Drosophila melanogaster: one gene and its partners. Changing the gene in region 1 together with any one later gene gives a genetic interaction. Each region holds a gene or a part of one and is shown in the gene's direction. Other genes may lie near its edges.

What was found.
Region 2: of faf (region 1) and Dcp-1, changing one suppresses a phenotype caused by changing the other (phenotypic suppression), as found in Drosophila melanogaster (one study listed by BioGRID).
Region 3: of faf (region 1) and wnd, changing one suppresses a phenotype caused by changing the other (phenotypic suppression), as found in Drosophila melanogaster (one study listed by BioGRID).

What each region holds. Positions count from the first base shown.
Region 1 is NT_033777.3:31,775,062-31,780,026, forward strand, and holds the start of faf (fat facets), read left to right. Parts: upstream 1-1,958; 5' UTR 1,959-2,121; intron 2,122-2,181; exon of another isoform or gene 2,182-2,503; intron 2,504-2,576; exon of another isoform or gene 2,577-2,690; intron 2,691-3,110; 5' UTR 3,111-3,404; coding exon 3,405-3,697; intron 3,698-4,298; coding exon 4,299-4,447; intron 4,448-4,501; coding exon 4,502-4,965. Other genes in the region: CG2126 (uncharacterized protein), read right to left, coding at 290-441, 498-632, 687-859, 923-1,135, 1,188-1,321, 1,384-1,491. UniProt on the Drosophila melanogaster protein: Ubiquitin C-terminal hydrolase involved in development and the imd/NF-kappa-B (IMD) signaling cascade. Required for eye and embryo development, and plays a role in compound eye assembly and oogenesis respectively.
Region 2 is NT_033778.4:23,549,437-23,554,094, forward strand, and holds Dcp-1 (death caspase-1), read left to right. Parts: upstream 1-1,876; 5' UTR 1,877-2,286; coding exon 2,287-2,438; intron 2,439-2,864; coding exon 2,865-3,427; intron 3,428-3,487; coding exon 3,488-3,744; 3' UTR 3,745-4,111; downstream 4,112-4,658. Other genes in the region: pita, read right to left, coding at 1-455, 512-1,600. UniProt on the Drosophila melanogaster protein: Involved in the activation cascade of caspases responsible for apoptosis execution. Proteolytically cleaves poly(ADP-ribose) polymerase (PARP). Loss of zygotic DCP-1 function causes larval lethality and melanotic tumors.
Region 3 is NT_037436.4:19,632,737-19,637,484, reverse strand, and holds the start of wnd (wallenda), read left to right. Parts: upstream 1-1,701; 5' UTR 1,702-2,054; exon of another isoform or gene 2,055-2,063; intron 2,064-3,021; 5' UTR 3,022-3,104; coding exon 3,105-3,253; intron 3,254-4,388; exon of another isoform or gene 4,389-4,748.

The sequences.
Region 1 (4,965 bases):
TGATGATTTGTATTTAATATTACTATATGTGTATAATTAATGTGAAATATAATTAAAACGAAAAGAACGAAGAATGAATTAAGCTTGTGCGACGAAAACACTAAATAGACCTGCTCCTAAATTTGTTTCTCAACGGCTTTTAGAGCCGCAATTATACTCGGAACAGGTCTGAGTCTGAGCTACATACTAAATGTAAATAAATTAATTGACGCGTACACTACACATAGATAACAACAGTCGATCGACGAGTTCCCCGGGCGTGAAAAATTTGCATCTGGACGTCGCCGCATCAAATTCTCGACTCCAGCTCCCGGAACTCGGCAGGATCCGTGAAACGTACGGTCAAAATATAGAACAGTGTGGGGAAGGGCACCAAGCACATAAAGGCATAGTGGTAATTCAGGGAGGTGAGGCCGTAGGCCAACAACATCCAGTGCACAGCTGGGAAAGTAAGCTGCTGGTATACTTTATGTATGGTGAATGCGCACTTTGCTTACCTATGATGACCACGTTTTTTAACTCCCACACCGACGAGTGAACCAATGCCTTTAGGGTTTGATCCAGTTTGAGGGAATAGTGGATGGCATTGGCTACCATGGATATGGCCACGCTAAGGTACGGAAAGGAGTAATCTGAAAAAGAAAAGATCTCAAGACCAAAATATTAGCAAGCACTTAAGTACTCACAGATCAACCCACATCCTAACGCATGGATAAAGGTGAGCAGGGGCAGGAAGTAAAGAGCCGAGTAAATCGGCGCCTTGCTTCTGCCCCCCACATCCATAATTTTGCTGACTAGCGGGCGTATGAGAAACATGTTCACCAGGCACAGAAAGTAGAAAACCAGCACGATGGTTTGCCTGGAAATTGAACATTAAAGTGACTATTGTGAACACCTGGAGCCTTGGGTGGCTGGGTCTTACAATGGGTAAACTGCCTCCTGGGTGCAGTAGACTCGTGCCTCATAATTGGGGCTGGGGTTGTAAAACAATGTGTACCAGTCAGTAAGTTTTCGAACATCACAGGCGTAGAGGCGCAGCTCCCACATGGGCTCCATTAGCAAGGTGGCGAGGATGGCAGATATGGCAACCTCAACGAAAGCGCTGGCCGTCAAGATCAGCTGCTTCCGCGAAAACCTATGTGAATTCACTAAGTAAGTTCTTCTTCCAGTTTGATTAGTTCACTCACTTGCGATCCTTGGCGTCCATGTCAATGAAAAAGCAGTGCATCATAAGTGGCAGCATGGTCATGAATCCCAGGTATAGCCAGGAGTACGTGCTTAACTCGTCGCGGCATGGAGAGCATGCGTAACTTTGGTTCACCTGAACAATATAAAAGTAAATTATTTTCCAGGCGCCGTTCCGAAGGATGCTAGAACATTAACCCGAGATCCTCTGGGACAGACCCCGCAGCTGCTCCAGCTGTTGTTTCCTAGCGGTGATCGCCCACAGTAGGCTCCTGGGCAGCGTTCCAACGCGTCGTACATTCTCATGAAATCAAAACAATTACTTCGTATTGTATATTACATTAAACAAAATAAAAACAATACTCCTATCGATATCGGACTTATCGTTATCAGTAGGACCACTGAATAAACGAATAGGTTGTTCGTGCACTTAAATTAATACTAATTTATAAAATGATAATACATCAGAAGCACATGCGAAATGTATTAAAAATAAGGAAATTATTTTCTACAGATTATATAATGGGCCCTAAGACTGCTTTCTAATTTGATCAAATTAATAATACTATATGTTTTTATATATTTATTTACAATTAAACATGACTAGTAGAGTGTACATTCTTACAGTGCATTTCAATGATTTGATTTTATTTGAAATCCCAATTGCCAGAAATTTAAATTTAGGGTCCCTTATATGTACCACATAAACCAGTTCGATAGGCGCGCTTTTGGCATGGCCTGATAACTCTGGTAAAAAGCACCGCGCGAACCGGTTCAATTCATAACTAGTTCGCCCGAACTGCACAACCCTAGCAAAAGAAATAGCTTAAATATAATTTATTTAACGCGAATTGGACAACGAGCGGGTAGAAAAAACCCTGTGGCCGCAACCGCGACGCTCGCAGGATACGCAGCTCTTCGCCGTCGGGCAGGCAGGTAAAAAGCAATGGCAATTGGAGTTGACCGCAGAACAACAGCAACGGCAGACGCCATTTTGTCTATTGGCCGGCTGATTTGTAAGCTCAATATTCGCGAAATAGTTACCGCGACTAGCTTCGAGTGGCGCAGCCAAGTAAGGGCTCCCCGCTGTCCAGAGCAAAGGCGAAAGGAAGAGCAATCGCCCATTTTGAGGCCTGCGAAAAGTTGGGACTCGGTCGTCAGTTCGCTCGATTCCATTTGCGAAAAATAAATGTACGTGCGCGTGAGGAAGTGTGTGTGCGCGTGAAAAAACAGTGAAAAATAATAAAAAGCCGCACTGGCCGCCGTCCTTGGGTGACTTCCGTTAATCTCTTACAACTTTTAAAGCTATAGAAAGAATGTGAGCAATTTACCGCCCTCGACACACCCAATGAACCGCTAATTTTGGCATCTTTCTATAACTTTATGCGTAGTTATTTTCACCACCCTTCGCCTACACCCTTTCCCCGCCCCTTTTTCCACCAGTGGCTCCCACCCACCGACCGACATTCCGCTTAAGGATGATGCCGGGCGGAGAGAGATAGAGAGTGAGTGCAAAATCCGTAAACTTGGACGTGATGTAATTTTCGGCAGGAAAATGTTCTTTGTTTGCCCAAAAAAATAACAATAAATAAATAAGAATGAAGAGCGAGGCGTAAAACAAAAACAATTTTAAATTAAACTCAAACGCACACACAAAAAGAGAGGGTTCTGTGGGTGAGCGTGCGTGCGTGTGAGTGGGTGAGAGCGTAATTTGTGTGCTTTTGGAGCATTATTTGGCGCTTGCTGCCCCGTCTATTAAATAATATTGATTTTTCATATTCCAACCCAGCGCTCTCTTACACACACGCAGGACCACTCACACACCCAAAACTGAGCTTCGTACACATGTGGGCCTTTTCGGTCTCTCTCTTAGCGCTGTATTTATCCGCCTCTTATTGCCTCTTTCGCTTCGTTGCACTTTATAGATTTTTGCAAACTGGCCGCTGACCAGGCATTGGGAAAAAGGACAATAAGAGGGAGCCCAGAGCAAGAAGTCCAACTAACCGACCAACTGTGCCTCAAGAAACAGCAAATCAGCGGGGAACTCCCAAACTGGACAAGCAGAAGCCCGGATACCTCACATTTGCCATAAGACACCAGTCAAAAAACGACGCGCACTGCAGAACGCATTAGGATTAGCCCGGCACTAGAGCTCGTGCATTAACATCCGCTTCCGGTGCTCCGCAGAACGAGTTGGCTGGAGAGGATACCCCGCCACCATGACGTTCGACACTCGTAGGCACACCACCGGACAGCCGGGAAGCACAGCGCCCAGCTCAAGCAGCAGCACCACCAGCACAACAACCACCACAACGAGTCCGGCGCAGAGTGCCGGATCAGGATCGGGCATAGGAACAGGCACAGGAACAGTCGCCAACTCGAGTCTGCCAGGAGGAGGATCAGGTAGCTTGGACGGCAACCAGGATCAACAGCCGGCCACAGACAGTCAGAGCTCTGATGACGTGGCCGCTTCCTTGTCAGCGAACAGCGTGGACAGCACCATCACAATAGTGTAAGTGGTCGTGCTGCCGTATTTGCATGACTCCGCCCAATTAGTCGGGTTTTGTGCGTAGCACCAGTATGACCGCCACCCCTAAAGATCCCCAACATTCGTGTGTTTACTTTTGCGTAGTAATTCTTCCACATGCATTCTTTGTTTGTCTATGGTTGGGCCAGCACAATGTTCGTAATTCATTTAACTATGTTTCAGATGATTTTGGCCAGGCCACTGGTTAGTGACCATAAATGTGGCAATAAATGTTATCTTTCTTTTTCTTCGATAGGTGCACTTGGCTGCTGTCCAGTTTTAGCAATGAACTTACCAAGCTTTACTAATATTACCTTACCCGGCTATTACTATCTCATTTTGAATGCCCGTCCACGGCCTATCTTATCGCTTGTCCATCAAAATAAGCTAACACTGAAAATTACAAAAAAAAAAAAAAAAAAAATGTATGCGTTTTGGCATTTATTTTAATAGAAATAACCATTTAATAAACAGAAATGTTTATGGAAGGGTGTGCTTTGATTGACCCCCTAAGAACTTTTTTTTTTATGTGTATTATTTAATTTGTTATTTTTAATATTGAATAATTGTCCATTTAATTAAATAGGCCTCCAGAGAAGCTTATATCCTCGTTTCCCACGACGAAACTGAGATCACTAACGCAAAAGATATCCAATCCGCGTTGGGTGGTGCCGGTGCTGCCTGAACAGGAATTGGAGGTTCTCTTAAATGCAGCCATCGAACTGACCCAGGCTGGTAAGTGTGTCCAAACGATTTATTTGATACCCTCTAAAGTCAATTTATTTGCAGGTGTGGATCACGACTGCGAGCCATGTGTGGAGTTTTATCGCAATGGACTGAGCACTTCCTTTGCCAAGATCCTAACCGACGAGGCGGTGAATTCGTGGAAGAATAACATCCACCACTGTATCCTTGTGTCTTGCGGCAAGCTTCTACATCTAATCGCCATCCACATGCAGCGAGACAATCCCTATCTGCTTGACTTGCTGGCTATTGTTTTTGATCCGGAGAACAAGTTCAACACATTTAACGCAGGCCGTCAACCGGAGTGCTTCGCAGCGCCGGACTACATCTGGGGTCAGTTGGACAGCAACAAAATGTACGCCCGTCCGCCGCCGGAGCCCAAGAATGCGCGTGGCTGGCTTGTGGATCTTATTAACCGCTTCGGACAGTTGGGAGGCTTTGACAATCTACTGGAACGGTTTAACATCGGACTGGAACTGCTGAAGCGCAACCAAAACAAGTGCACTGGC
Region 2 (4,658 bases), on another chromosome or scaffold:
TACGGCTCCATTTCCACCACATGATCGTCCTCGATGTGGCGCTGCAGGCATTTCTGCGTCAAGAAGATGTGGTCACAGAACTCGCAGGCATGGCGCTCGCTCTGCTTGTGCTGGTCCATGTGGCTCTCGACACTGTCGATATCTTCGATCTGCTTGCGACACATGGGACATTTCAGGCTGGCGGTGGCATGAATGAGCGCATGATCCAGTAGGTCGTTATAGTTGCTGTACGACACCTTGCACTCACTGCACACGAACGAGGCGTCGGAAGTCTGCGTGTGCGTGCGCAGGTGGCGCGAGAGATGATGCGACAGCATGTAGGACTTGTGGCAGTACTTGCAGGGATAGGCTCTCTTCCCGGCGTGGGCAACCAGGTGGCGGGCCAGCTTGGAAGCGGTGGAAAAGCTTCTCTCGCAATGCTGACAGGGGAAGGGAAGATTGGTGGAGTGGACTGTCTGAAAGTGGACATAATCGTTAGCCGGGGCAATCCCAAATATGCTTGTCAACCCACCTCATGACGCTCCAATCCCTGCTTGAAGGCAAACGACTTGGTGCAGACACCGCATTGGAACGGACGCTTCTTCTGATGTCGCTCGGCGTGCTTCTCCATCTCCTGGCGCGAAAGGAAGGGCTTCTCGCAGTACACGCAGATGAACTTGGGTACGTCCGTGTGGGTGCGCTCGTGGCGATGGAGCAATGCCTTCCGTGTGAAGGCTTTCGAGCAGATGGCGCACTTGAATGGCCGCTCGCCGGTGTGCACAAAGTTGTGCTTGGCCAGGTCGTACTTGGAGAAGAAGCTCTTCTCGCACAGGAGACACTGGAAGCTGCGCGAGCGAGTGTGATTCAGCCGATGGATCTCGAGCAGCTGCTGCAGCGGAAAGGAGCGTTCGCAATCGGGACAGGGGAACACATCGGTGGCCACCTTCTCGGCGTTCTTGGTCGGATCATCTTGATCGTCCAATGGCAGATCCGAGTCCAGAACCTCTGTCACTATGGCCACATTGCCACTATCATCTCGCTTGACTTTGGGTGTGGCCAGGCGCGGTTCCACCGGAGCGGCGGGTCCCTTGTTCAAGATCCTAATCGAGGACTTGTTCAGCACCTTCGGCTTGACGGGTGATGCCTTCTGGGGGATATCGGGGAACTCCTTCTCTAGCTCACTGGCCATATCCTCCAGCATGCTCTGCACATCGTCCATGGACAGCTCCTGGTTGTTATCCACCTTCAGCTCATAGGCGTGCGAACGACGTGGCACTGGAGAGGAACCGGCTACCGTCCTGGGGGTCACCATGGCGCTCTCCAGCACCTGGACGTCCTCGATGATCACCTGACTACTGGATTTGGCCATTGTGTTCAGCAGCTTTTTGGGCGTTTCGCTTGGCTCGGCTGTCTTTGCTGGCACGACCAACAACTTCTTGGAAGCCACCATCGTCATGGGCGCACGGGGCTTCTCCAGCGGCGATGGCCAGTTACCCGTGAGCGGATACTGGCGCAGGAGGGTCTCCGCCCGCTTGCACATCTGCTTGAAGCGGTAGCAGTGCTCGAAGAGGAGGCGGCACTCCAGACAGATGTGCCCCGGCATTCCGTCGCCGGCGTAGACCTGTTTTTAATGTTAGATTAGATAAATGTGTGAGTGACTAGGAAGCTACATTTATTCGGGGAAGTCCGTGCTTAAGCCAAATAATAAGGTAATATTCGTGGAACACCCCTATATGTTTTTCGCTACATAATAAATTAAACGCCATAAATGTCTCTTTCCCTTAAAATGAACAATATAATGTTAGAGTTTAAATTTAAACAAAGGCGCCGAGGACCAGAACACCCTCTACAAATTAATCGATGGCCACCAATCGATGATTAGTGCTATCGACGAGCGGCCATCGCCGCTTGGCGGCAAGTGCATACACACGACTACATGCAATCGCAGTTTGTTTTCGCCGCTCAGAGCACGCTTAACCTCCGTTAATTGATTGATTAAACACGTCCGACTGTGAGCCATAAAAGGACATTCGCTCGATCGAAAGCCGACAAAAGCTGGCTGAGAAGCGCAAAACAGCTGCGCTGCGCAAAGTTTGGCCAACGCAGAGCAATAGAAAACAGAAGCAGTGTCAGAATAAAACAAGAATCAGACCAAAAAGGGCGCAACAACTGCGGAGAGAGAAAAGGAAGGAAAGAGCAGCGCGTGAGCGAGGGAGGAGCAGGAGGGAGCGAACAAAAGGCAAGAGGAAACACAAGGAGAAACGCAAACAATCAAAACAAGAACTTAAGCAAGAAAAGGGGCGCAAGATGACCGACGAGTGCGTAACCAGAAACTACGGAGTAGGCATTCGCAGCCCAAATGGATCGGAAAATCGGGGCAGCTTTATAATGGCTGATAATACCGATGCCAAGGGCTGTACGCCGGAGTCTCTTGTTGTTGGTGGTGCAACTGCAGCGAGGTGAGTCCATGTGCCTCGCTCTCTCCCTCTCCCATCTCTCTCTTTATGTTTCTGTGTTTTGTTATCAATGCAAGTACTGGCATAACTGCTATATCCTAGTTTCAAATGCAGCATATAAAGCTCTTTTTTTTTTATTTATTCCATTTTCATTCCACAATCTATTATTTTTATATTATTTATACTGTCTATTGCCAACATTTAAAATCAATGTGTCAATCTGTCTTTATAATGTTGTTAAAATGGCTGAAGTCACAAAGTTTGAAAGCACTTGACTTTAATTCTATTGTTCTATTTAGTCTTATTCACAAATATATTTGAAAATAATTACATAAATAAATACCCAATCATCGATTATTTCGCCGATTACCTTATCTTATCATGCTGCTTCCCAAATGGCTATTATAATTCTGATTTCTTTTTCCCCAGCCCCTTGCCGGCCAACAAGTTTGTGGCTCGAATGCCCGTGGAACGATATGCAAGCGAATACAACATGAGTCACAAGCACCGCGGAGTTGCGCTGATCTTCAACCACGAATTCTTCGACATACCCTCGCTGAAGAGCCGCACCGGAACAAATGTCGATGCCCAAGAGCTGAAAAAGGCCTTTGAAAACCTGGGATTCGCGGTGTCCGTGCACAAGGACTGCAAGTTGAGGGACATCCTGAAGCACGTGGGGAAGGCCGCCGAGTTGGACCACACGGACAACGACTGCCTTGCGGTGGCCATACTCTCGCACGGGGAGCACGGCTACCTGTACGCCAAGGATACGCAGTACAAGCTGGACAACATCTGGCACTACTTCACTGCCACCTTCTGCCCCTCGCTGGCGGGCAAGCCGAAGCTGTTCTTCATCCAAGCCTGCCAGGGCGATCGCTTGGACGGAGGCATCACTCTGGAGAAGGGCGTTACCGAGACGGACGGGGAGTCCTCGACGAGCTACAAGATACCCATACACGCCGACTTTCTCTTCTCCTACTCGACCATTCCGGGTAAGGAATATGATTAGGTAACTATTTTAGTGAATTTCACTAGCAATCTCGTCCTGTTAGGCTACTTCTCCTGGCGCAACATCAACAATGGCTCCTGGTACATGCAATCGCTGATCCGCGAGCTGAACGCCAATGGCAAAAAGTACGACCTGCTCACCCTGCTTACATTCGTTAACCAGCGCGTAGCCCTAGACTTTGAGTCGAACGTGCCCGCCACACCGATGATGGATCGCCAGAAGCAAATACCGTGCCTCACCTCCATGCTGACGCGCATACTGCGCTTCGGCGACAAGCCGAACGGCAATAAGGCTGGCTAGGAAGAGATCTCCCTTCGAAGAAGAACTTTCAACAGAGGTTGTACAACCATCGCCCGCAATCATTCACGTTGGATTCCAATTCACTTCAAGTTTAGTTTTAGCTGACGCGTGCGATTATCCCGATGGATATTGAAGCACCCGACTCCCTTTCATTCATTCCCCTGCCTTTCCCATGCCCATTTCGGCCTTATCATTGACGAAATTCGTTACCCATTTACCCACTAGATGACTTCCGTATGCATAAGCGAGACCTTGCCAATAGAAAACCCACAAATTTGAGATAAGATAATACAATGAAGATTTATACATACATACATACTTTTATGTACACGCAAACATTTATATTTGATATGAATAAAAATGAATTAAAAACATAGCAAGGTATCTCCCCAATTGAACGTAGATGGGTAATTTCGATCTAAGCAACTTTGTTTGAAGACAGGAGCTGTCTGGGCCAGATTGAGTACGTTGATATGGGAAATAAAAGATAACAATGAAGACTTGGTTGGCTGAATCAGTGAAATTGTACGAAACTTTAGTGGAATTCAAATTAGCATTATTAAGAGTGATTAATTAAGATTTTTCTCACTCTAATTTTATTAATTTCCTAAATTTTATATTTATTTCCTAATTTTATAATTTAGGAAATTAATAAAATTAACCAAATGATGATTTTTGCGTAAATATAAGTATCGAAGGAACTATTAATGCATTTAAATATGATCTCGATTTGAATTTAGCGCCAAAAACAACTGACAGCTGTCAGGGCGATCAGCTGTTGACGCACTAGTGTGCGTGTGGCGCAGTACAGTTGCCCCAAATCGCAGAAATTTTCATTTTTCTTTGCACAAGAGGAAAAAGGGAAAGCCCAATGATTAGCCAACTAATTGGGCTGTAACCTGGTCGCACTTTTC
Region 3 (4,748 bases), on another chromosome or scaffold:
CAATGATCCTCAACTACCCTTAACTTAGACTTGTTAAAGGCAATTCTTGTGTTGAGATCATATACCCCCTCCCCCTCGCAAGTGGCACTGATTGACGGGCATGGAACCTGCACCCTGGACATGGAACTGGAACCCTGGGAGATACTGGCCCTCGGTGTCCCTCAAATGCGTGAAACCCTATGACTCATGCGCAATGGACCAAAAGAAAACGCCTGAGCCGCACGCAGGCAGCATAACAATTTATTGGTCAGAACATACAAGAAAAGGTATTTGTTGATAACGTGGAAGGGGGGAGGTGGCTCTAAGAAGGGAAAAGTGGATTGTGTGATTGGTAAGGATACACCGCGACAAAAAGATCTTATATACTTATGGCGTTATGCTGTTATCATGGGTGATAAAGGTAATATTTTTATACATATGTACGTAACATAATAATAAGTTGTTAATTTCGAAATATTTCGTGTATAGAATAATGCTTTTCCAATTCATAGTAGAGACATTTATTATGAATATTATATGCTATGGAAATTCTAAGTATGTAAATATACAATTGATCGCTGAATATATGCTATGGAAATTCTAACTATGTAAATATACAATTGATCGCTGAATTCGCTAAGTATTTTCCACGATGTAGAAAAGCCCCCACCCACTAACATGTTCTCCAAAGAGATCAGTCCTCTGTGGGTATGAGTCATCTTTGTTTATGTAGAAATTATGCTACCTGCTGCACTATGTTATTTTCATTTTCGTGCTCTACCTGTTGTGCGAAAGCGGAGGAGCAGGGGTATGGGATTCGACACAAATCCGGAGACACCGTTTTCACAGCTCTGCTCTTGTATAGCAATTCTTTGATGACGTGCCGAGTTTAACTACATACCCAGCTTATGACGTACAGACTGATAAGCTGATAGGTTGTTTACGCAAGCGAATTGCATTTAAGAACAATTTAAAGTTTAATTTTTATATGTATGTATGTTTGTTTGTGTATAAAGCGAAAAAGTATTAAGATCATACTTTAAGTAACTTAGCTCATGCTTTTATAACATATATTGATAAAACAAAATCAAAATACATACATACATTCTTTTTAAGAGTATCACTAAGTTTTTGACTTTCCTTAAATAGATATACATACATACATATCTAGTTATTTATTTCATTTATTAAGAAGCTGACTTTTAAATAAAATTAATACCCACATTTAGTATAAAAAACTGTCTAATAATAAATTTTTCTACTTTCAGATGTTCTTTCAAAATTTTAGATCAAAGTTTCCAAAAGTTGCTAATAGTATTCTTAAATTTAGTACTTAATATTCGAAAGAGAAAATAAAAATAGAAATGAAAAAGAGTGTGGTAAAAGCGAGGTTTTAGATATTCAACGACACACAAATGTGTACATCTAATTTCATTGATTTGAATTATTTAATTTATTTATTTTTGACTTCATTATCTTTTTAAGCATTATTTTGCTAAAAGCTCAGAAGCAGCTGCCATGAGCGCTTTTAGGCACTGAACACGATCGTGCACGTCGCTGACGAGAGCTTTATTAAACTTTTAAGCCAGATCCAGTTTCATTGGCACTATCAAGTAGAGTGTGGTGAGCAAAAGAAAAACGGGGATAATCGGAGAGGCGACAGCAACAACAACGACCCAGTGCCTTGGCAGTTGATGTCTGTTTGTGGTTGGCCATCCCGCGCAGTCGCGTTCTCCCGCACACTTGCGCAGTGAACACAACCTGCGCTCCAAACTGGTTTTGGTGGAGGAAATCCGCAAGAGAGAGCGCTAGAGAGCGGATTGGAACTCGGTTTCGGCCAAAGCCAAAGCAGAGCCAGCAGCCAGTTTTTGCTTTTTAGTCGATTTGTATCTACCTTTGGTGCGGACGGTTGGTCGGAATAAACGCGTTTCGCAGCGGAACTCCAAGAAGAGCAGAAAACCAGTCTTTAATTGTTCCATTTCAAGCTGAAATCAAATAAAAGTTCTTCGCCAATGGCTGAATAAAGTACGAATCAATGCAATCACTACGATTCGCAGTGGAAAATTGCTGGAAAAGTGAGCAAAGTGTGTGAAAAATGTGCAAATACAAGAATTTTTATATTGATTTTCTTGGCCAAAAGAGCGAACGAGCGAGCAAAAGGCAGCAGCAGAGGAAGAAGAAGAAGCAGCAACAGCACAAAGCTGCGCTGTAAGGCTTCCGTCGTTGGTGCGAGCAAGAGGGGAGGGCCCTACTGGGTGGGTGTGAACGAGACAGCAATAGCGAGAAATGTACTCTGGTGTGTGTGTGGGAACATTTATGTTTGTTGTTTTTGTTATGTTCTAGCTTTGGCCAAGTTAAATTAAAAAAAAAAAGAACAACAAGAAGTGGAGTTGTACACAGGAAAAAATGATATCAAGTGCCTTTTCTTCTAATATATGTTTATCTTTTGAAAAGCAAAAGATATTATTCAAATGAGAAAAAAAATAATCATAAAGTAATATTATTTGGCGAATTATATTTTTTTTTTAACAGAAAAAGATTCTGTACTATATCTCAAAAATAATTGGAAAAGCATCTAACTTACAAAAATGGGATACAATATATAAATACATTTTTTGATATCTACTTTTTTTTTCTGTGTACAAATAAAAAGAATACCTGTATGTGAGCTTGTGTGTGCGCCTATTCTTTTGTGCAATTCGCCTTTTAAAGGCATCATAAAAATAGCTCAGCCTGCAGTTTGAAAGTGAAAGAAAACCACATTTAAGCGGAATGCAAAGTGAATTGGCAGCAAGTGCAATAATCGACCCTTCTTCTTCCCGTGTTTGTGTGTTTAAATAGCTTTTTTTGCGTGGGTGCTATTGCTGTCTCGCTCCCGCTCCTGCTCGCATATCCTTTTGCCCTTTGCCGTTTGACGTCGTTTGCTTCTTATTGATTTTCGTCATTCATTGATAAGAGGTTGCGAACGAATGTGCGCGTGTGTGTGTCTGAAAAGGAAATCCCCAGCCAAAAAATACTAATGTTCGTGGTATCTCCATATAGCAACCGCTTTATTGACCAGAATGTCGTAAGGATCGATCATAGAGCCACCAATACACATACCCAAACCACACCAATCCTGGACAATGCAACCGTTCAGCGACAGTCTGAGCAAAAGTCGCGATGATCTGGTCACCGCCGCCTCCCGGCAACAACAACAGCTACACGGACGGAGGCGACACCACGGCAGCAGCCCCAACTTGTCGCTCGATCAGACCGACAATCTGCGAAGGAGGTGAGCATTATTATTATTAGACATTATGGTCGTGATGGCTAAGACAAAAACCTAAAAGTTTTAGAACGATTTTTGTTTGAGTTGATTATAGAAAAGTTGTTGGACATTTAGAAACTTTATTTAAAGAGTAATCACATAATTGATTAAATCTTAAAAAAAAAACTAAAAAGCAACCTCGAGCATAAAAACCCCAAAAAATAAATACTTTCAGCCATTAAAAACTCGTCGTGTTTAAGTAAAAGAAACAAAATCGGCTTGAAATTTTAATTAATATTTCAAGAATATGCCGCCGAATCGTGCTTAATTAAGCGGGGTAATCGACCTTCACTGTATACAAGTTTTTATGTAATTCGCAAGCAACTGAATACTCGAAAGTATTTAGCAGGTTAAACGATCGTTTAAAAATTTAAAAAGCCACAAAAATCTTGAACTGAGTAACAATAAAAAATTCAACTTTATCCGATAGATACAGGATTCTATTTCCCAAATAGGAGGCGTCAGCTTTATTTTCCTAGTTCCTAGTCTCACTAAGTAAATAGAAATCATTAGAAAGCACGTGCAAACCAAAAAAGCTTGTTGTGAAATAATAAAAAGTTATCACAGTAGATATTAAAAGAGCATAATAATGACAACAAAGAAGACAGACATACAGACATCTACTAAAACACTGCAAAACAACAGTGTTAACAGATAAGCAGATAAAAGGGGTTTCATTATTTAAATAGCGAAATACTAGTATTTAATAATTTTTTGTAATTGTGATTGATTATAATATTACTAAGGAGAGCACTCGATTTTCAGGAGTAGAGATAACAAGCACACGGAAATGTCTTCATAGGCAGTATCCACTGTAAAAAAAATTGGGCGATACAATTTGCAGGGGGGCGCAGCCAAAAACTTCCTATTCGCACACTTACATCCACAGCACGACCACCTGTATCTGTATTTGTGTGGATGTGTGTGAGATTTGATCATGTGTTCCCCACCATGAAAACTGGTTTTAAGTGTGACCAGATGGCAGCCTGGCCTGGGGAGACCTCGAGATGGTTGGCCAGTCGATACAGGCGCTGGGGAATGCGGTCAGTCTGACAACAACAACGCCGGATGATAACAGCAGATGAGAGCGGAGCGGGAGAGAGAGCTCCATCCGAACTGATACTGATAATGTGGAGCTAGACCGTTATGCTCACGCTGCGAGTCGCGATTTAGTTGGCGAAAATCAATCGCTTCTGGTGGTCGCTCTTTGCGCTTGAAATTCGCAAGCCTGCCTTAATTTGCGTCCGTGTGTTTGTGCGACAACAAAAACAAAAGCGAGCTTATCGCCAAATCAGTTTGCAGCCGTTGTCTGTGTGTTGGTGTGACGCAGTTGTGCGAAATACGTGAAATTATTGCATTTTTCCCCCCCAAACCCAACCAATAAGCAACAGTCTTGAAAAACCGCCAACGAAAGTGTTACGCGTCGCGTTCGTCTCTCTTTTCTTGTAATTAATAGCAA